2 linked regions of the Diceros bicornis minor genome follow. The protein of the gene in region 2 interacts with the protein of the main gene of each other region in a biochemical or structural test. Links are inferred from orthologs where the notes say so. Each region holds a gene or a part of one and is shown on either strand. Other genes may lie near its edges.

What was found. The genes of interacting proteins can lie anywhere in the genome.
Region 1: the proteins of NR2F1 (region 2) and BCL11A form a complex in vitro, tested with the Homo sapiens proteins (2 studies listed by BioGRID). The link is inferred for Diceros bicornis minor from reciprocal best matches to the Homo sapiens genes NR2F1 and BCL11A.

The regions. Positions count from the first base shown.
Region 1 is NC_080751.1:26,589,400-26,600,091, forward strand, and holds the start of BCL11A (B-cell lymphoma/leukemia 11A), read left to right. Parts: upstream 1-6,267; 5' UTR 6,268-6,595; coding exon 6,596-6,650; intron 6,651-10,692. UniProt on the Homo sapiens protein: Transcription factor. Associated with the BAF SWI/SNF chromatin remodeling complex. Binds to the 5'-TGACCA-3' sequence motif in regulatory regions of target genes, including a distal promoter of the HBG1 hemoglobin subunit gamma-1 gene.
Region 2 is NC_080740.1:19,650,389-19,659,928, forward strand, and holds the start of NR2F1 (COUP transcription factor 1), read left to right. Parts: upstream 1-5,045; coding exon 5,046-5,508; intron 5,509-7,927; coding exon 7,928-8,455; intron 8,456-9,540. UniProt on the Homo sapiens protein: Coup (chicken ovalbumin upstream promoter) transcription factor binds to the ovalbumin promoter and, in conjunction with another protein (S300-II) stimulates initiation of transcription. Binds to both direct repeats and palindromes of the 5'-AGGTCA-3' motif.

The DNA.
Region 1 (10,692 bases), on a different chromosome or scaffold from region 2:
AATAAGACCATCTGAAACCACTAAAAATCATTTCTGTGATGTTCTGTAAGGAAGGGAGGGAGGGGAGAAAGGAGGGAGAGAGGGAAGGAGGGAGAGAGAGAGGGGGTGGGGTGGGGGGAGAGAGAGAAAGAGATCTCCAAAAGCTTCCTCAGCTGAGTTATTCTGTCTTTTATAAAACAACTTCACATCTGGACTGATAACTTGAATTCCACCCAGTGCCATTTAAATAGCCGAAGTTATAAACCTCTTAAACTTGGGGTTTATAATAGAAACACTGACAGACCCTTAACTATAGTGCCTCTATAGTAATGAAAGCACCACTATTTCATTATAGCAGTGTCTGGCAGGGCTGCTATAATTAAGAGTCTGTCAGCGTTTCCATTATAAACCCAAATTTTAAGAGGTTTTTACTCACATTGTTTTAAATCACATTGGGCTGAAACTTGCTGTATAAAATGTCAGACCAGATGTGTGTGTGTGTGTGTGTGTGTGTTGTGTTGCTTTTCCTTTTATTTACACCCCCCCCAAAAAGAGGCAAATAGTTTTTATTTGTTTTTGTTTTGTTTGTTTTTGCTTGTTGTTTTGTTTATTTGTTTTTAAGATTGAGTGTAAAACATTTGTATTGAAAAAATTATTCCCTTGTTAAAAGCAAAAGATTCATGATAGAGGGGCACAGAGAATGAAGTTTGAGATATTTTTTATTTTTGGTTGTTCCTATTGTATTTCTTCCTTTAGAAGTGCTCTCATTTGGGAAACCAGATTTGTACATATCCAAAAAGCACTGTTAAAGAAATGAATCTCTTGATATTGGATTCTTGATACTAGTTTACTTGGAAGATATTTGGTAATGTAGGCTGCTAGAGATGATGAAAATATCTTGCATAGTATTCTTAATTATTCAGCTGCTCTGATATTTGGGATAATCTTTTTGAGCTCACCTTCCTTGGTGGGAATCACTTTTAGGCTAAAATGCACTCTTATAATAGGGTTGCCTGATCAAAGCCTTACTGGTCTCTAGAGGAAACTAATAGAATTTGGATGGTTTTGTTGGTTTCATTTATGTGGTGATAGGAATTATTCACTCAAAAACCATTTATTAAGCATCTCCTGTGTGCTGAGTATCGCACTAGGATGTTGCTAACACAGTACATTGGGCTGGTGTCATTGCCCAGCACCTATGTGTCTTTGATGTCAATGCTAAATGATTTCACCTAGCAGTGTTCTAACCAGAACTCCTTGTTGTTTTCAAAGGGGCCTCTGATTTAAATAGTGAGACTACTGCTGCCCCCTTCCCCATACATTGTTGACTCAGCACACAGCAGCCCAGTCTATAGGCAAACATAGACTTGTTTAGAGCAGATTCAGCTTTTTCCTTCCTTTTTTCTTCCCTCCTTTACCCCCTCCCTCCCTCCCTCTCTCCTTCCTTCTTTTTTTTTTTGGACAGGTCCATCCAGGTATGTCAAGTAGCCTGCCAGGTAGCCAAAGGCCCAGGGAGCCTCTGAAGAAATGCCAGACTAACTGTTACCCCCAGGAACCTCCCTGGGGGATGTCTGTGCCTTTGCAGAAGGTGTGGACACTGCCCTCCAGGGGCCTCCTTAGGTTCCAGGCTCTGGATCACACCTGGAGTAGAGGAGGAAGAAAGGCTATGGGGGTGGGGACTGAGGGAGGCTGGGGAGAAGAGGTGATGGTGGCCCTTCTGCTCACCTTTCAATTTAGGGTGCCCCCATAAAGCCCACCTCCTTCCTCACACACAACTCTTCTTGCTTTTTAAACCGATTTTTCCTTTGTCTTAATGGCACCCTAGCGCTCCCATCCCCAAGAACCCCAGATGCAAAACCTATGCCAAGGGTAGAATCGAAACCTAAGTTTTATTTTTATGAAGATGACTGCCCATTCTCTATTTTCTGAACTGCTATTAGGCAAAAAAAAGAAAAAAAAAAAAAAAGAGAGAGAGAAGAATGAGGTAAAAAGCGAGGTGGGACCGATTGTATTTTTAACCATTCATTCAGTCATTCATTTATTTATCTTTAAGTCTATCAAGGTGTTTCCCCCTAAAGGCAGACAGTGAATATTTTATTTTAATCTTGTAGTTTCCATCGAGACAGACCTTTTAACCCTTCCTTCTCCTGCTCAGCCCGAGTCCCCGCGCCAGGCGATCCTCGGCTCGAGGGCTGGGACTGTGTGAAGTCTCCTTCCTGGAGCTGTTTGTTGACCACATTCACGTTCAGAGCCCTGGAGCTAAAAGCACTTTACACCATAAAATAAAAGCACTGTCTTTTTTTCGAAAAGGTTACGTCTGGAGGCCACGCGGCTCATACTTCATACCGAAAACTACTGAAAGGACTATGAAATCCTCTATGATTTACACTCTCTCACTGCATTAGGGTATAGATCTACTCGACTCTAAAAATACGGTGGGTTTCTAACCGACGTGAATATATGTGCATTATTTCAGAAAGTCTGTTAGAAAACTTGTCAACACATTATAAAGCATAAACCAGGACTTGGCTATTAAGTACGGAGATCAGAGGCAGAATACATACTGCAGGAAGTCCTGGGGAGTCTCCTCCGCGGGCAAGATAAAAAGGGGGAGGAGGGGAGGGGAGGGGTCGTCTGTCGGCCTGGAGTTTACACGCAGTGTCGTCACTAAAGGTTGGGGAAAGAGCCCACCGAGCGTAATTACCCCTTCAGTGGAATCAGCCAAGGTTCGACAGCTCCAAATGAAGTTAACTGAACGGCCAGAAAATTTTAACGCTGTCATAATTTATTACTTTCTAAAAGCCACTTTTGGAAAGGTAAATATACTTATTGTGTATCCAAGTGTGCGCGTTTAAAGTGACCTTTCACCCCTCGACAAAACCACCTGCATCATTAATCAATACTTATGTAATATTTTAAGCCTCTTAAAACAACATATTTTTATTTCTTTAAACACACGTACAAACCCTCCCCCTCCCCCACTTTGGGGCGCTTTAGCGAGCATCCAGCAGCAATGAGGGAGGGGGCGTCGCTCGTAGGGGCGAGCACGAGGGACCGGGAGTGGGGGTCCCGGAGCAGGAGGATCAAATGCCGATACACAGCCCTGGTTTTCTGGACTGGGTGAAATCAGGCTGGGGGAGGGGCGTGAGCGGAGGGCAGCTACTATTTCACTCTGGGCATTTTATGATGGTGAAATTAAATATATGTTAATGGTGGAAACGTCGCTGCGTACCTCGGCATTGGCACCCGGGGAAAGCAGCTGCAAAACTGAGTTTTTAATGTGTGTTTTAAGATGTGGTTTTGGAAGGAACCCCCTGGAATCTGAAACAAGTGCAATAACATAGCAGACCTACTTGTAACTAAGTGCTTAATTTCCTATGATTTTTTAAAAAAGAAAATCAATAAAATGTTGCCAGTTATTTATTGGAAATAACCACAGATAGCGGCCCTGATAGGGTGCCGGTTTTAGAGAGCACACAATTGTGTAATGAATTGTAATTCAGAAGACTGTTAAATGTGAACCACAGAACCTTTCAGAGGTAATAAAGTCATTACTTTTTACACTACAGCCAACTCTGAAAAGCTTTATACACACCATTGTATATAAATCATACATATATATTTCCACAACACACATTCGCCCATTTATACACCTTCTCTATATATGGACTTTTATGGATGGATGGGAAAAATATTTAAATTTGAAAAGCTCAGTTCTGAAAGAATCTGACTTACTATTGTTACCTGAAGGGGCTTTTGTTTTATTTATTTATTTTTCAAAGGCCTCCCAGTTGCACTTTCTTCTCTCTCTTCACCTTTCCTCCAACCATTCTCCTCCAAGTCTCATCCCCCGCCCCCCCCCCGCCAGCCCCCCCACCCCCCGCAATGACATTCTTTTGGTCACTCTAAGGCTAGTTTAACAAGACAAAAAAATAGACGGTAGTGGAAGAGAGATGCTGACCTGCTCTGAAGAACTCATGAAAAAGGGGAAATGGTGCAACGCACAAGCTACAGAGCTTTACTGCAAGTGCATCTTCCTGCCTCTTAAACAGGATTTGAGTCCCCCCCCCTTAAACTGGAGGGAAACAATAACAACAAACCACATTTACACAAACCCAGTTCAGCCCACATCTCTCCTAACGCTGAGCATCAAAACCTCCTTTTCTTACTTAGAGGGGCCCGAAGCTTCGCCGAGCCAGGCAAGCCAGTCATTTTCTAATAGGCTTGAAACTTTACTAAGACAACACATGAATAAACAGCCGCTTGCCGGCGCGGCTGGGAGGTGGGTGCGCGCGTGCAAGCCGGGGCCCTCGCTTAAGACAATAAAGCCCCCCGCCCGGTGGGTGAATTTACGAAAAAGAGGTCCCTTAGACTGAGGAGGGGGAAGAGAAGACACGAGGGGTTGTGGAGCCGCTTGGAGGAGAGGGAAGGAAGGCTCCTCGCTCTGCAGACACACACTCACACACGTCCACCTGCAGCTCGGAGTCTCGCGGGCCGCGGCGACCCGCCTCCACCCTGCACCCTCCGCTCCTCCCTTGGACTTGAGTCCGTTTTCCTCTCCCCCCTGCCCTTCCGGATTTGGAATCGCAGCGTGGTCTCGGCGGCGGTGGTGGCGGCTGAGGCTACAGGGTGGTGCAGGCAGGCAGGGAGGCTGGGAGGCGGGAGACGCCGGGGGACTTTGCAGGCACGTTTCTGAATAAACTTTCCAATCGCAGGGGGTGCTGTTGCTGTACATTTTACGTAAAACTGAAAGTATCCCACGCCAGAGTGAAGCCCGCTTTTTGACAGCGGCAGCGTGTGTGTGTGCGCGCGTGTGTGCATTAAAGAGACAGGGGTTTATTTCCAACAGGTCTTCCCTAATTTCCCGCGAACCTCTGCGGAAAGGCTAGGGGAGGCTTCGGGCTCCAGAGTGGGCGCCTTGACCCGGGGCGCCTGGGGAGCGCGGCGCTGACCCAGGGCGGTCACCCCACCACCGTGGCCTCCCCGCTGCTCCTGCGAGCCAGTCGCGTTCTCTCCATTCCCCATTTTCTTTCCCCACGTAACAGCACAGTAATAGTTGTGCTCTACCAGTAAGAAACATTTTCTTTCCATTCCTCTGCGCGTTTGCAGTTGCTTAGGAGTGGGAGGGGGTGTGTCCTTCCCTGGGACCCGGCTCGGGGACCTCCCGCAGCGCCGGGAGCACGTTCCCAGGGACTGGAACTCCCAGGACTGCCCGTGCTTTGTCCTCTGGCCCGCGGTCCCTCGGTGAGGTGGACGCCTCGGCGCCTCCTTCGCCTCGGGCCCTGGCGCTCCCCTCCGAGTGCCCCGGGTCTGGCTCCTCGTTTCTGTATTCCTTGGCCTCTCTCTCTTTCTGCGACCCTTGGGAGCCTCGACTCTGTGCTTCCAGTTGCATTCAGACCCAATCGCTTGTTGGGGCGCTCAGATCCCCGGCCCCCCGGCTCGGCATTGGGGGCGCCCTCTCGGCCCTCCCGCTCGGGCCTGCACCGCTTCCCTCGCCTTCGCCCCCTCTCTCCAGGCCGCCCGGGCTCCAGGAGGCCCCGGCGCTGCCCTTCCGGACCCCAACCCTCCAAACTTGGGCTGGACTCCGCTTAGCCGCGCGCTCCCTCCCGCCTCCCCTCACCCGCGGCGGAGCTGTAACTTGGAGGCTCCGCTCTCAACTTCGGGTGATTTTTCTTTGCTAGCCTCTCCTCGGGCAAAGTTTCCGGAGCGCAGCCGCGGGCTCAAGGCTTTCACTTCGGCCCCGGCGGCCGCACGCGGGGAGCGAGCGCGGCCGCGGCGGCGGTGAGGGGAAGTGGGTGTGCGCAAGGAGGAGGGTGTCCGGGAGCAACTCTACCTGGCTTCCCTCCGCCCGCGCTTCCCCGGCCCGGGGCTGCAGCCTCCCTGTACGCTCTTGCCTTTTTTTTTTTTTAAATAATCTTTCATTTTAGGGTTGGCGTGCGGGGGTGGTGGTGCAGGGTGCACATCTTGCTCCCCCCACCCTCGCTGCCCCTTTCTTTTCTCCCCGCCACGCCGCCGCCTCTGCGCTCGCTGCGGCCACTGGTGAGCCCGCGGCCCCAGCGCCCCCTCCCCTCCGCCCGCCCCTCCCCCGGGGGCCGCGTCTGGCGTCTGCAGAGCCCCCCGCCCCGCACCTCCCCCGCCCCGCACTGGCCATTGGCTTGTCCTGGTCTCTTTTTCATGTCCAGCCCCTGATGTGTGTCCATTGGTGTGAGCTTCCCCTTCCCTCCTCCCCTTCTCTCCTGCTCGCCCTGCCCATGTTTTGTGTGTCTCTGTCCATCCAGACTCCTGACGTTCAAGTTCGCAGGGACGTCACGTCCGCACTTGAACTTGCAGCTCAGGGGGGCTTTTGCCATTTTTTTCATCTCTCTCTCTCTCTCTCCCTCTATCTTTCCTCTCTCTTTTTTTTTTTTGCTTAAAAAAAAGCCATGACGGCTCTCCCACAATTCATCTTCCCTGCGCCATCTTTGTATTATTTCTAATTTATTTTGGATGTCAAAAGGCACTGATGAAGATATTTTCTCTGGAGTCTCCTTCTTTCTAACCCGGCTCTCCCGATGTGAACCGAGCCGTCGTCCGCCCGCCGCCGCCGCCGCCGCCGCCGCCCGCCCCGCAGCCCACCATGTCTCGCCGCAAGCAAGGCAAACCCCAGCACTTAAGCAAACGGGAATTCTCGCGTAAGTAACCCAATAATAGTAATAATAATTATTAATAATCACGAGAGCGCGCAGGACGAGAAGCAAGAGCGAGGGGGAGAGAGGGGTGTGTGCATGCATTTAAAAAATTTTTCAGGAGAAAAACCTCCGAGAGTCGGGATAAAAGAGATTAAAGGGAGGAAAAAAAAACCCCCAAACCTCATCCCATCCCGAACCATAGCCGTATGTACACTTTGGAATTGCACGCACCTTTTAATTTTATTTAATTTTACAAAAATTTGACTCCTCCTCTTTCTTGCTTTCCGCTGCTTTATTTCGCTTTTCGGAAAGGAATGCAATGATTTCCCCTCCAATTTTGCAAAATAATGAACAATGCTATGGATGCGAACAACTCTCCTGCAAACCTGGGGGAGGGACCTGGAGGGGAAAGGGGGGTTGCTTCCACTCGACGAAGGAAGGAAAACGGGGAGTGGGGGAGCAGGGAGCCCAAGCCTAAAAAACAATTTCCAGGGAGAAAAGAGGTGAGACTGGCCCTCGGACACGAGCGCGCTCACGGTCAAGTGTGCACTGGGAGAAAGTAGTCATCTCCACAATAGTGAGAAAGTGGGATTGTGGGAGGGGGCCCCCGGCGCTCTGGAGTCCGCCGAGTCTGGAGAGGTGCCGCGGCGGCAGGGAGAGCCGGGCGACCGCGAAGGACGGGAGACGCGGCCGGCGCTGCCGCCTTTTGTTCCGGCCTGAGGTGGGTGTTTGTCCCGCTGCCTTTTGTGCCGGCTCCTCGCGCTTGCCCTCCCGCGCCGCCGCCGCCGAAGGGCAGGAGCAAGGGCCGGGGGCGAGCGGGAGAGGGAGGGAGGGCGCCTGGGCCGCCGCCGCCCGGGTTGCGGCTGCCTGCCCCTCCCGGCCGAACCTCAGTGGCGGCGAGAAGAAGTGCAAAATAAAATAAAATAAAAATAAAACAAGGCAAGAGAAGGTAAAATTTCTTGCCCCAAACCAGAAGCCAAACGCTCCTCCGGCGGTTTTCTGCAACGCTCTCCTTTTTGAGTCCCCCACCCCCCCTGCAAAAATCTCACAATCTCTACCGGAGTTAAAAAAAAATACGATTACCCCCTTCCCCAAAACCCTTTTAGTTGCAAACTTAGAGCGCCGGCGGCACGGAGAGGGAGCGAGGAACTCCCTCCTCTTACTATTTTTTGGAAGATTTTCAAAAAAAGTGGAAGTGGATTTTGATTGGGAAAAATCTCGTGTCTGAATGTTTACAAGCACCGCGTGTGCGGGAGCCTGCTGCCAACAAACAGACAGAGGACCGAGCGCGGCGCGGCAGCCCGGGAGCGGGCGGCGGCGGCGGCCGGGCCTCGCCGGGGCCTCGCCGCGCCCCCGCCCCGCCCGGGATCGCCCACTCGGCGCCCGGCGCCCGCCCGCCGGCACAGCAGCAGGCCGTGCCGCGACTCCGCGCCAGCCGGGTCCATGGTTCCCTCTCGCCCACAGCACAATGCCCAGACCTCCTCCCCGCCAACCCGACTGCGAAGTCGGCTGGGGAGAAACTCGGCTTTGCAAAGCATTTTTATTTTGCAAAGCAACTGAAAAAGCGTGTTCTGCGCCCCCCCCTCTCCGCTCCCCCGGATTCTTGTCCACAGCTCAGGACTGCGGGGAGGTCACCACGTGCTTTCCCTGCCCCCCTCCCACCCGGCCTTGCCACCAGCCCCCGACTCCCGAGCGCAGCCAGGCCAGGTGGGGGGAGAGCTGTGTGTGGGGGAGTGGGCAGGGGAGTAGTACGTTCTAGTATGCGTTTTGGGAATGCTAAATCCCGGGACTCTGCGCACCCCACCTTGAGTTCTTGCCCTCCACCCGGGGCCTGGCTCAGTCGGGGTGGGGGGGCTCCTTGTGAATCTATATAAGGGGGTGTGTGTGACTGTCTCCTGGCTAACAGAGTGCGCCTGGAAAGGTGGACAGTGGGCACTTAGGAAAGTTTGGCAGCAAGAGAAAGAAAAGCGTGAGAGGGCCCACATCCTTTCCCCACCTCATTCATGACCCTTATTTTAATTTTTGATGCAATTTTAAAGGACCACCTATACCCAGTTCTGTATTTTTTAAAGGGGTGGGGAGTGCGCACAGAGAATTGAATTTTTCACTGAGACCTGGAACTTGTCACACACTTCGGAAGTTCCCCCGCCCCGGCACGTTGCGGGGCCCTCCCTCTCCCCACCCCCGCGCATCCCTCCCTCGCCGCTCTCCCCCGCCCCCCACTCCCCCGGCCGCGCCGGATGCGGAGCAGACGCGGCGCGCAGCGGTGTGAAGTTACAGCCCGGCCAGGTACCGGCGGGAAGGATGGGCAGTGTTCGCAGGACTCGGGAAAGCCGGGCCCTTCTTCGGAAGGATGCATTGGGGGCTCAAAGGACAGACAGGCTTGCAGTCCAGGCTGCTCCCCGACCCCCCCGCCCCCATCCCGGGGTCTATCTCGGGACACTCCAGTCTGGGTGGGTTAGCCCCTCTCCCCCGGTTTCAGTGAGGGCTTTGTGTTAAGGGGCCGGTTTGGAGAGGTTGCGGGGTCGCTCCTTTCTCATTTTCTGGGTGCACAGAGGGGGCGGGAGCCATTCCAGTCTTCAGGACCCCCTCACCCCCCATCCTCCGCTTCTTGGGATGAATGAGCCATTTGGTCGCTAGGAGGCAGAACAAGATCAAGAAAGCTCAGCGAACTTGAACCTGTACCAGAGCTTCCCCCACCCCCTGCTCTGCGTTTCTCGGCCGGGGAGGGACAGCATTGCGAGCGTGGGGGTGGGGGAAACGGACGGTTAGGCAGAATTCCCTTTCTCCCCCCATCACCCCTTATGTCTTTGTTCTTCATTTTGACTTTAAAAATGCTCTGGCTAGGGCAGCAGAGAAGCACCCGGGAGCGCGGCGGACACCTCCGTGCTTCAGCCGCGGAGCGGCGTGCAGTTTTCGCTTTCTTTTGGGGCGTGCATTTTTGGTAGGGAGGAAAGGGGAGTGCGCGCTCTCCGTCTTTGGGGCGAGGCCAAAGGGCGGGATCGGCAAGTTTGCACTTAGTCTCCAGGTTCACTTCTTCCACCCCCTCATCCCCGCGCAAATCACGGACCACGGCGGCCACGGCAGGCTTGCAGGGCGGCTCTGCAGCCTGACTCTCGGCTCCCCCGCCTCCTGTAGCTCTCGCCTCGGAGCCCGAAATCACAACAATAGTAATAGTTATCATCCTAATGATGCGGGCAAACAGGGTCATTAATAATGAATAACCGCAGCCGCCGCCGCGCTGCGCACACCGGTGTGCGGAATTTCGGGAGAAACGCATTTGTAGAGATCCCCCAAAGTAAAAAGTGTGAGCCTGTGGACACAGAGTGAATTTCAGGAGCCGCGCTTGAGGTGTGTGCGGTGATACTGAGACCGCACCAGGTTAACCAGCCGAGTTTTCCAAGCCTCACTTTCCGTTTCTCCAACTGGCGGGCTCAGGGAACCGTGGTCACCCTGCGGCCAGGCCGGATGGGAGTGGAGGCGGCAGTCCGGGCTCCTGGCTGCCCGCCGCCCCCGGGCCCCTGGCCCCCGGTCCCACGGCCGCCGCTGCACGTGTTCGCAGCGAGCACGGCCGGAGCCTGCAGCCAGCACGCTGCTCGCTTTGTGCCTCCGACTCCCGGCGCCCAACTTCACTTTCTGCACAGCCCGCCCCTGCCGGGCCCCCTGCCCCGGGCCTGTCGCCCCTGCCTTCGCTTTTGTTTCTTTGCTTTTTCTCTCTGCATTTCAGCATCGGTTTGCTTCCTTACCCAGTTAAGACAATCAAAGGGAAGGAGGACTTGGAAAGCAAACTCGAAGGCAGAGCTTCTTTTCCCCCTCCCCCTCCCCCAGCAACCCTCGTTTCCCTTGCTCCTTCCCTACATGTCTTCTAAGGCTTTTTTTTTTTTTTTAATTTATTCCTTTGCAACTGCAGAGACAGAGGAAGATCTCACTCAGCCGCTGGGGCATTGAGACGTTCCAGTCTGTCTTGCTGTTTGAACGCAGAAGCATTTTATTTTCTGTCTCTTTCTCCCCTTGTAGAGAATTCGCGACTAATTATTATGATTAT
Region 2 (9,540 bases):
GCCCTCTGACGCAAACGCGCGCCCCTGCCCAGCGCGGAGGAAAGCGCTCTCGTTGGTTTTAATTGAGGCTCTTCCTTTCACACACACCCCCTCGGTCCCCACCCCTGGGAGGTGACACCCGCCGCCCCCAGCCCTGTTGAGTCTGGCTGGCCTGCGGATCTGGCGCTCTCTCGCCGCCGCCGTCGCCGCCGCAGGTTCTCCGCTGGAGAGAGCGGCTTGGTGTCCCTTTTAATCCGCTGACACTATCGCCCACATCAAACAAGCAGCCATCGATCGCGTTACGCTAGGGTATCTCGTTACAAGCCGCGCCTGCAGGTGGGCGGCAGGAGCCGAGCTCGCCAGGCCCTGGCTGCAGGCAGGCGAGGCGCGGGCAGCAGGGCCAGCCCGGCCGGACTCCGCAGCGGGCTCCCGCGCGGCTCGGCCTCGGCACCGCGGGCGGCGGCGGTGCGGGTGCTAAACCTGCGGATCCACCTCCCCCGTCCTCCGCCCCTGCGCTGGAGGCCCCGCAGCCGTTTCCCGCCAGGGGCGGGGGACGAGGGTGGGGGTGGGGGAGACCTGTTTTGAATTTGGACTGACGCTCCGCGGGCAAGATCTCAGCCCCGGGGCGGCGCGGCGGCCGCGATCCCCGCCTCCGCGCCGCAGCGGGACAGAGGCCGCAGGAGAGCAGCTCCGGAGCAGGCCCCGCGGAAAGTTCTCCTAGTCTGGCCCGGGCTCCCTGACTCCGGCCCCGGCCTGCAGAGGCCATGCGAGCCAAGGCTGCCTCCCGGCCGGTCCGCGTTACCAACCCCGAGTTCAAAAGAAATGATAACCACTTGCCTGGTGGGACAAGACTTGGCCGAATCTCGTTTCTGGTGCCCATGACTCACGGTCCAGGGTCCGAGGGCTGCTGGGCCCGCGGACCGGGCGTCCAGCGGGCCTCCGGTTCCCTGGCGCTCGCTCTCGCCTCCTCTTCCACTCGCTCCGTCTCTCTCCACGTTCTCTTTCCTTCTCCCTGTCTCCCTCTCTCTGCCTGCTTCCTCTGCCCTCCACTGCCTGCCTCTGTACTGTATGGGGAGTAAAATTTAGAATTTATATATAGAAAGCTTGTTCATTTTCTTTTCCTTTTTTTTTTTTTTTTTTTTTTTGGTCTTTAAATCATGTTCGTTTCACCTTTTAACGGACCAGGAGACATGGCGCGCGTTTATTTGGGGAGAAGGGCGAGGGCAAGGAGCCCCTGCCGGCCCCAGTCGCCTCCTCTCCATCAGCTGCGTACAATGGGCCGCCGCTTGCAGAGTGCATTGACTGTCTCTCCATTATTCGAGCTGGAGGGGCTGCGGGGCAGGCACAGAAAAGCCTTTATTCTCTTTAAAATCGTCGCTCGTCACTAAGCGGTCGCTGACTCCCGGCTTGCAGGCTGGAGAGACCGGGAAGCGCAAAACGCACCCCAAACACGCAGCGCTTCCCAAACCCCTCCCTGGTGAAATTTAAAGTGAGAACGAGTAGTATTAAAAAACAAACCCTACCTCTGTCAATACAGCGTGGCCATATACTCCCACCTTTACCTGAGGGCGTGTTGAGGCTGGGGATGCTGGAGCTGAGACAAACTTTTACGCTCTCCCGAGTCGAGGGGCGGGCGGGCGAGCGTGGCTCCCACCCCCGGCGGCGGCAGCGGCGGCTTTGTCACTCCGCGCCGCTCCGCGCCCGCCTGAGCCTGCCTAGGGGAGCGATCTCAAAACGAGGGGGGTGCGAGTGTGCGATTGGAGAATATGTAACTAATAGAAGTATCGTTTTCCCCCAGTACGATCTTTCAAGGAAAAAATCCATTGAAAGAATTTTCAAAGTGCTGTCTTCGTTTGGAGAAAAGGCACAGGCTGCCTGCAGGGAGGGGAGGAGGGACCCGGCCGTGCGCCTCCCGGGCGCGGCTCCCGTCCGCTAGGTGGCAGCCGGAGCCAGCGATTCCTGCGGGCCCCGCGGCGGGATCCGCTCCTCACGCCCGCCCCTCCTCCTGCGACCAATCGCCTTCGGGAATCGGGGTCTTTCTCTCTCTCCCTCTCTCTCTCTTTCTCTCCCCCCTTCTCTCCCTCCCTCCCTCTCTCTCTCTCTCTCCCTCCCTCTTTCTCTCTCCCTCTCCCTCCTGCCTCTCTCTCCCCTCCCCCCTCCCTCCTCATCCGCACCTTGCCCCATCTCCCATCTTCTTCCCTTCTTATTGGCTCGCCCCTTTTCTCTTTTCCTGGGACTTTGACGTGGCCGCACTAACACACACCCCCCCCCCAACTTACTACTGTTTTATTAATAATTATGGAAGCGTTGTTTGGAATTTGGAATAGCCTGAGGTTACCAAAGGGGGAAAAAAGAAAGAAGAAAAAATCGGATTGATTGGAAAGTTTATTTTTAAAATCATCTTTGGGATGAATAGGAACGGTTGATTCAGATTGATTTTCTGGCAATAGCTGCAAATTCCAGGAGTGTGTTTTGTCATAATTAAACCTTTAAAACCAAGATACACTTTAGACTAAAAAATAGGAACTCCTTACCCTGTTTCTTAAAAGGATATAAAATGAGCAGAATCCACACTTGGATTGCGCTTATATGTGAAAGAAGAAAACAGTTCAAACCCAGTATATTTCACGAATCATTAACATGGTGAGAGTTTAATTCCCATTAAAATTTTTCCTAACATTTTCAATGACACTCTCTTCATGCTCATAAAACCTAATGTTAAAAACTTTTCAGAAGAGATCAAAATAATTTCCTTCTAATTCTCTTTTTACCCATTGCAAAGCGTTCTCCCCCTAGCCATCCCTTCCCCCTCTGGGGAGAGTGTGTGTGCGTGTGTGTGTGTGTGTGTGTGTGTGTGTGTGTGTGACCACAGACGACCCATACTAATCAGGTCTCAGAGTAAATAGCAGCGCAGGGCGATCTCAATGTAAATTGCGCTTGTCAGAAGCACACCCCCCTCCCTCACTTTCTCTCCTCCTCCCCTCGCCTTCCCCGTCAGTAGGTAGCTAAGAGGGAGGGGAAAAAAAAAGAAAGAAAGAAAAAGAGGAGGGGGAGGGGCTCTCCAACCAATGGCGTGCGGGAGGCTTGGCTAACCTTAGCCTCCCGTTTTCTCTCCCCCCGATTCAGGGCTCTGACCAGTCAGTCGCCTTTGATTATCAGTTGCCAGCAGCCCTTCTCTTGGCTCCTTGACACGAGCTCCATATAAGGCAGCGATCTCCATAGAAACGTGTCAGTTTCAATAGTAGTGTCAAAGTTCACTATATACAGACATTCGCGCAGATCCCCTTTTCGGAAACATTGCTCTGCGAGTCCTCCCGTTTAAACGCATTCAATTTTGGGGTCTCTCTCTCTTCTCTCTCTCTCTCTCACTCTCTCTCTTTCTCCTCCTCCGCCTTTCTCTCTCTCTCAATCTCTCTCTCTCTCTTCTCTTCCCCTCTCTCCTCTCTCCCCCTTTCTCTTTTCTTATATATTCTATTAGTTGTTTCCCCCGTATTCTTCTTTCTCTCCTTTTTCTCCCTCCTCCTTGTCTCTCTTACTCCATTCCTGCAGAAGAGAGAGGGCTCAACTTAAAAAAAAAAAAAAAAAAAGGAGGAGGCACCCCCTTCGTATTCTTCTTATCGTTATTTTATACATATATGATTTTTGGGGGGAGGGAGGGTGTTGGTTCCCGGCTGAAGAGCACTTATTTAAAATACTAAAAAAAGAACATTTTTGGGCGATCTCCAGGGTTTTTTTAACTAGCTCTGTGTGTTATAGCAGAAGAAGCAGAAGAAGGAGCAAGAAAGAGGAAAAGAAGAGGATTATTTATTCGACCTACTTTGGATGTCTCTCTCGCTTTTTTTTTTTTTTTTTTTTGCAATTCTTTTTCTTCTGATTTTTATTTTTTCTATTTCGCTGTGAATTCGTCGCCGACGTGAATTATCTCGTATTTTTCTCCCCCTCCGTCACCTCCCGAAAGAAGAAGGCAGCGAGAGCCCGGCGCCACCGGCACAACAAAAAGAGCAAAGTGTGTGATCCTCCTCGCCGGCTGCCTCCCGCTCTCCAGCGCTGCCTTCCTGAATGGCTGGCTGCGTCCGGCCCTGGACCTGGCCCCCCGATACCAGCGCGCCTTGATCGCCGCCGCCAGCCTCGCCCCGCGCCCTGCTCGGCTCACCGCGCTCCCCTCAATCCCGAGCCCAGCGAGGGCTCCCGCCGGGACAGCGGCGGCGGCGCCGGCGGCCCGGACCCGGGCTCGCGCTCCGGCTGCGGCCCCGACTCCTGCTCGGACTCCGGCCCGGGCCCCAGCTCCTCCAGCGGCGCTCGCCGCTGCAGCTGAGGCGGCGGCTCCAGCGGCGCCTGCAGCCGAGAGCTCCTCCGCCGCCGCCGCCGCCGCCGCCCTCGCCGGCTTCCTCTATGTCGGCTCAGCCGGCGCGCAGCGCGTAGCCCGAGCGGCGGGCGGGCGGGCGGGCGCCCGGCGCGGGTGAGCGAGTGTGTGTGCGAGTGTGTGTGTGCGCGGGGGTGCCGGCGAGGCGGAGGGCGAGTGTGTGCGCGCGCCGTGGCCCATGCCCGCCGCCCCCGGCGCTGCGCCCCGCGCCGCTCCCGGCTGCCGCCTGTGCCATTTCTGATTTTGCAACTTGGGGAAGAAGAAAAAAGCGAGAGAAGGGAGCTTGCTCGCTGGGGGGGGGTGGGGAGGGGGGGAAGGAGAGCGTGGCCCCCCCAGGATCGGAGCGCGGGGGGAGCGGGCAAGGGGAGCAGGGGTGTTGGGGGGGAGCCTGAGAGCCTGGGGGGGCTGCAAAAAGAGAGAAAGAAAACAGCAGGAACCACAACAAAACGCCAGCAGGGCGGGCGGGCGCGCAGCAGCAGCGGGGCGGCCGAGGCAGTAGCGGCGGCGGCGGCGGCGGCGGCGGCGGCGGCAGCGGCCGGTCCCCGGCTCGGGCTCGGCTCCCGCGACCCCGGGGCGCCCGGCGGGCCCCCCGCCCCCTCCCCCTCCCCCCTTCCCCTTCCCCTTCCCCTCCCAGCGCGCCCGCGCGCCCCGCGGCCCTCGGCGAGCAGCTCGGCTCCCCCCAGCGCTCCCCGGGCCCAAAGATATGGCAATGGTAGTTAGCAGCTGGCGAGATCCGCAGGACGACGTGGCCGGGGGCAACCCCGGCGGCCCCAACCCCGCAGCGCAGGCGGCCCGCGGCGGCGGCGGCGGCGCCGGCGAGCAGCAGCAGCAGGCGGGCTCGGGCGCGCCGCACACGCCGCAGACCCCGGGCCAGCCTGGAGCGCCCGCCACCCCCGGCACGGCAGGGGACAAGGGCCAGGGCCCGCCCGGCTCGGGCCAGAGCCAGCAGCACATCGAGTGCGTGGTGTGCGGGGACAAGTCGAGCGGCAAGCACTATGGCCAATTCACCTGCGAAGGCTGCAAAAGTTTCTTCAAGAGGAGCGTCCGCAGGAACTTAACTTACACATGCCGTGCCAACAGGAACTGTCCCATCGACCAGCACCACCGCAACCAGTGCCAATACTGCCGCCTCAAGAAGTGCCTCAAAGTGGGCATGAGGCGGGAAGGTGAATATTTCTTCTCTGCTTCTCTCCCTGAGCTTCGCCCGCCTCCCCGGCCCTCTTTCTTTCTCTCTTGTGGGGGTGGGTGCCGTATGGGGCTGGGGCTCCTGCGGTCCTGGGCCGTCCCAGCTTCCCCTGTCCCCGCTGCCTTCCTCCCCCGGCGTCCCCCCCCCCCCAAGCTCGCTGCCGCTGCCTCCCCCTCCCGGCCTGCGCTCCTCTCCCCGGCTCCTCCACCCCGCCCGCTGCCTGCTCAGGATTGTGTCCCTGGGATCGTGAGCTGTGGCTTCAAATCCCCTTCCTTCCTCTGTCTTGGATGTGCTCGGTGTGTGTCTCTTTTCTGCGTGTGCGTCAGGATGCTTGGGGCTGTGCTGGCATGAAGTTGGGGAGGGGTGCTTATTTCCCCCAGAAAACTCTGTTTCTGTGTTTTTTCATTCCACTTTCTCCTCCACCTCTTCTTACCCTTTTTTTAAAATGGGGGAAGGCTGGGTACTGGAGTAGCCTGAACCACAGATTCATTGCTGCATCATCCTTTTGGAAGCTTAGCTTGGAAAAAAAAGGAGTGAGATTTATTGCACTTGTAGGTCTAATTAGGGGGGAAGGGGGGCTTCTGGACTGTTCACTGGTTCCTTCTCCTCTTCAGCGAGCTGTGGCCTTGTTTTCACCCCTCTACTTTGAAAGGAAAGTTTGTGACTGAACTGTGCTTTCATAGTTGTGTCATTTTTTTTAAAGCATGATACTCGTTTTATTTCTTCATCAAACTCCACCCTCTGCTTAAATACTGCATACAAATTACAATTTACAACGGCATTTACCGATCCTTCTGATTTGGCTATAATGCACAGACTGCAGCTGGCATGAGCTTCCACATCATTTAATCCCTGTGTTGTATGGGTTTGGTGTCTTTTAACACAACTTTTGATGTTGTATTTAGATATGCTTCATGTTCATGTGGCAAGAGATGCAGCACTTTTCTTATAAATATATTTAGCCGTTTACAGTTAAAGTTTATCTCCTGACAATCATTAAAGATGTCTTATAGTCAAATTAGCAAGCCAGTCAATTTTGCGGAATGCAGATTACTCCTTCTTGTAATTGACTTTAAAATGATATTTTATATGCCACCAGAAAAGAAATTGAATTCCTTCAGATCTCAGGGAGCAGGCAAATATGACGACTTCATTTCTAGCTCCAGGGAGATTTTGTAGGCATCTGGAAAAAAAAAAAAAAAAAACTTTGAATTGTGCTCTCATTTAATTGAAAAATAACTGCCAAGTTCAAAACTATAATTAGAAAAAAAGTATTCTAGCTGTTATGTTTTAAGAGCTTAAATTGCACTGGGGCTTGCATTAAAATTAGAATCAAAGCAAACTTAAGAAAAAAGTGCACAACCTGAAATAAGACAGCTATGTGTACATGGACATATCTATATTAATTTGTTGGGGGGAGAGTTCAGTAGTCCTAACTTTTCCTAAAGTTGTCTTTGTTTACATGGCAATTTAAAATGCTGGCACTGTTGAAGTAAAACATACACATTAAAAAAAAAAAAAAAAAAACTTTGGTCAGCTTTAAGAACTCAAAGCATGCTTACGTTTTGCATTCAGATGGTTAATGAATCCAGTGTTTTTGCAGTTGCAAGCTCGTGCATTCACTGGGCAAAAGCTGGCTGCAGGTTGCAGTGGCACCGCGCAGGACAGACATTAATTATATTTCCCACTTTTTTCAATAATGTTTGGCTACTGTAAGTTCAACTCTTTTCTTGAAATTTTTCAATTTTCTGTTGCTTTTAACAGTGAGAACTCAGTGTGGTGTGATGGGGAGGTGGGGATAGGGGAGGGGTGCAGGATACTTGTTTTCTGTTCAAAAGTTGTAAGTGGTTAGTAGGGTATGTAACTTGGAACTATTTTAAGGATAGTTCTATAGCATTTTTAGAGAATATGGAAACATTTTGAGCAAAACGCTGCTTGCTTGCAAATGAAGAGGCAGCTAGGCATTTACCTAGAATCACAAGCTTTCTCTGGTTTCGCCTGGTTGTTTTTGTTTTCTTTTGTTTTGTTTTAACCCTGATTTGTTTCATTCTGGAGGGGTGAGTGGGAGTTCATTAATCTGTGTGTTACTCCCTGGTGGTGGAGGGGTTGGGTGGCACTTTCTTGCCCATGTCGGGCTGGGGGCCTTGAAGTCAGGCCTAGTTCTGGCAGGGCTAGGGTGGCCAGGGGCGCCGGCGATGGCTGGGCACATGGAGCCGCGGAGCTGGAGGGCCTCACCCCAGATTTCCCCCCAGGGTGGGCTGCGAGTGAGAGCGAGCACGAGAGAAGATGCGGTGGCTGCGGGAAGAGCCTCCGCATTGTGTCGGGTGCTCTGCGGGCGCGGCGGTGTTCGCAAGCCCCCTGGATGCACATTGCCTCTTTTCTCTCTTTCTTTTTGTCAGCGGTTCAGCGAGGAAGAATGCCTCCAACCCAACCCAATCCAGGCCAGTACGCACTCACCAACGGGGACCCCCTCAACGGCCACTGCTACCTGTCCGGCTACATCTCGCTGCTGCTGCGCGCGGAGCCCTACCCCACGTCGCGCTACGGCAGCCAATGCATGCAGCCCAACAACATCATGGGCATCGAGAACATCTGCGAGCTGGCCGCGCGCCTGCTCTTCAGCGCCGTCGAGTGGGCCCGCAACATCCCCTTCTTCCCGGATCTGCAGATCACCGACCAGGTGTCCCTGCTTCGCCTCACCTGGAGCGAGCTGTTCGTGCTCAACGCGGCCCAGTGCTCCATGCCGCTGCACGTGGCGCCGCTGCTGGCCGCCGCCGGCCTGCACGCCTCGCCCATGTCCGCAGACCGCGTCGTGGCCTTCATGGACCACATCCGCATCTTCCAGGAGCAGGTGGAGAAGCTCAAGGCGCTGCACGTCGACTCGGCCGAGTACAGCTGCCTCAAAGCCATCGTGCTGTTCACGTCAGGTGAGGCTGCGCTCGCTGGGAGGGCAGGCCGCGCCGGGAGCGACCGCAGGCCCCGCTGCGCCTGGACCCGGCCTCCTGCGCCCCGCCGCGCCGCCGCCCCGGCCGGCCCTCGCCGGCCCTCGGGCCTGGCCGACCCCGCGGCCCCCGCGCAGGGCCGCGGCCGGCGGCGCCGCTGCCATCTTGGGAGCGCGGCCGTGCGGGAGCCGGGCCGGCGCGGATGCGGGCGGCGGGCGGCCCGGCCTGGCGACCTGGCCCCCGCGCGGGGCCGCGGCGGCGGGCGCGCGTCTGCTGGGGGCGGAGGCGGTGCGATGGATCCGTCTGGCTGCTCGCGTGTGCGGTGTGTATGTGTGTGCGGTGTGCGTGTGCGTGTGTGTGTGCCAGAGCTTAGCGTTTCTGTGGGAGGAGAGGGAAGGAAGAGAACGTGGGAATGTGGCTTTCTCCTCTGTGTGGCACGCTCCCTGGATGAGTTTCCCGACACAGAGAGACACACAGAGAGGTGGAAAGAGAAGAATACGCGCAAATAAATCATAAATAATCCCGCTTTATTGCTGCCTGATTTTCCCTTATCGGAAACCATTCATGTTTGCAGTTGCCGAGGTTATTGAGGGTCGTAAAAAATGGATTCGATCTAAACAAGAAAGATAAAAAACAAAAGCAATACTGTAGAACCCGCAAGTATGGGAGGATTCCCGCCCCGGAGATAAATCTCATAGCCATGCAAAACATACGAACGTTGAAAATTTAACCGAGTGCCTTAAAAATATCAAATTAAATGTAGGCGGTGGTAACATGCATGTTAACAATTTCTCTTGTGATAGATGGTTCAAATTAACTTCCAGGAAAGTGCATTAACGTTGCCTTTGAAGGCTCTGGTCTGAGCCTCTGAGAACACTGCTCGCCTTTTATTATTGTAACCTGCAAGAGGGAAACATATAAACACCCGGGACAGCAGGTAATGGGGGGAAATATAAACAAAGCCAGAGAGAAGGCTGGTGGGGAACAGGGCTGCTCAGACTGGGTCCTGGGCCTTGCCCACTGTGAGTTGGGTTGGCTGCAGTTTTACCACCGTTATTGGCACTATTGTT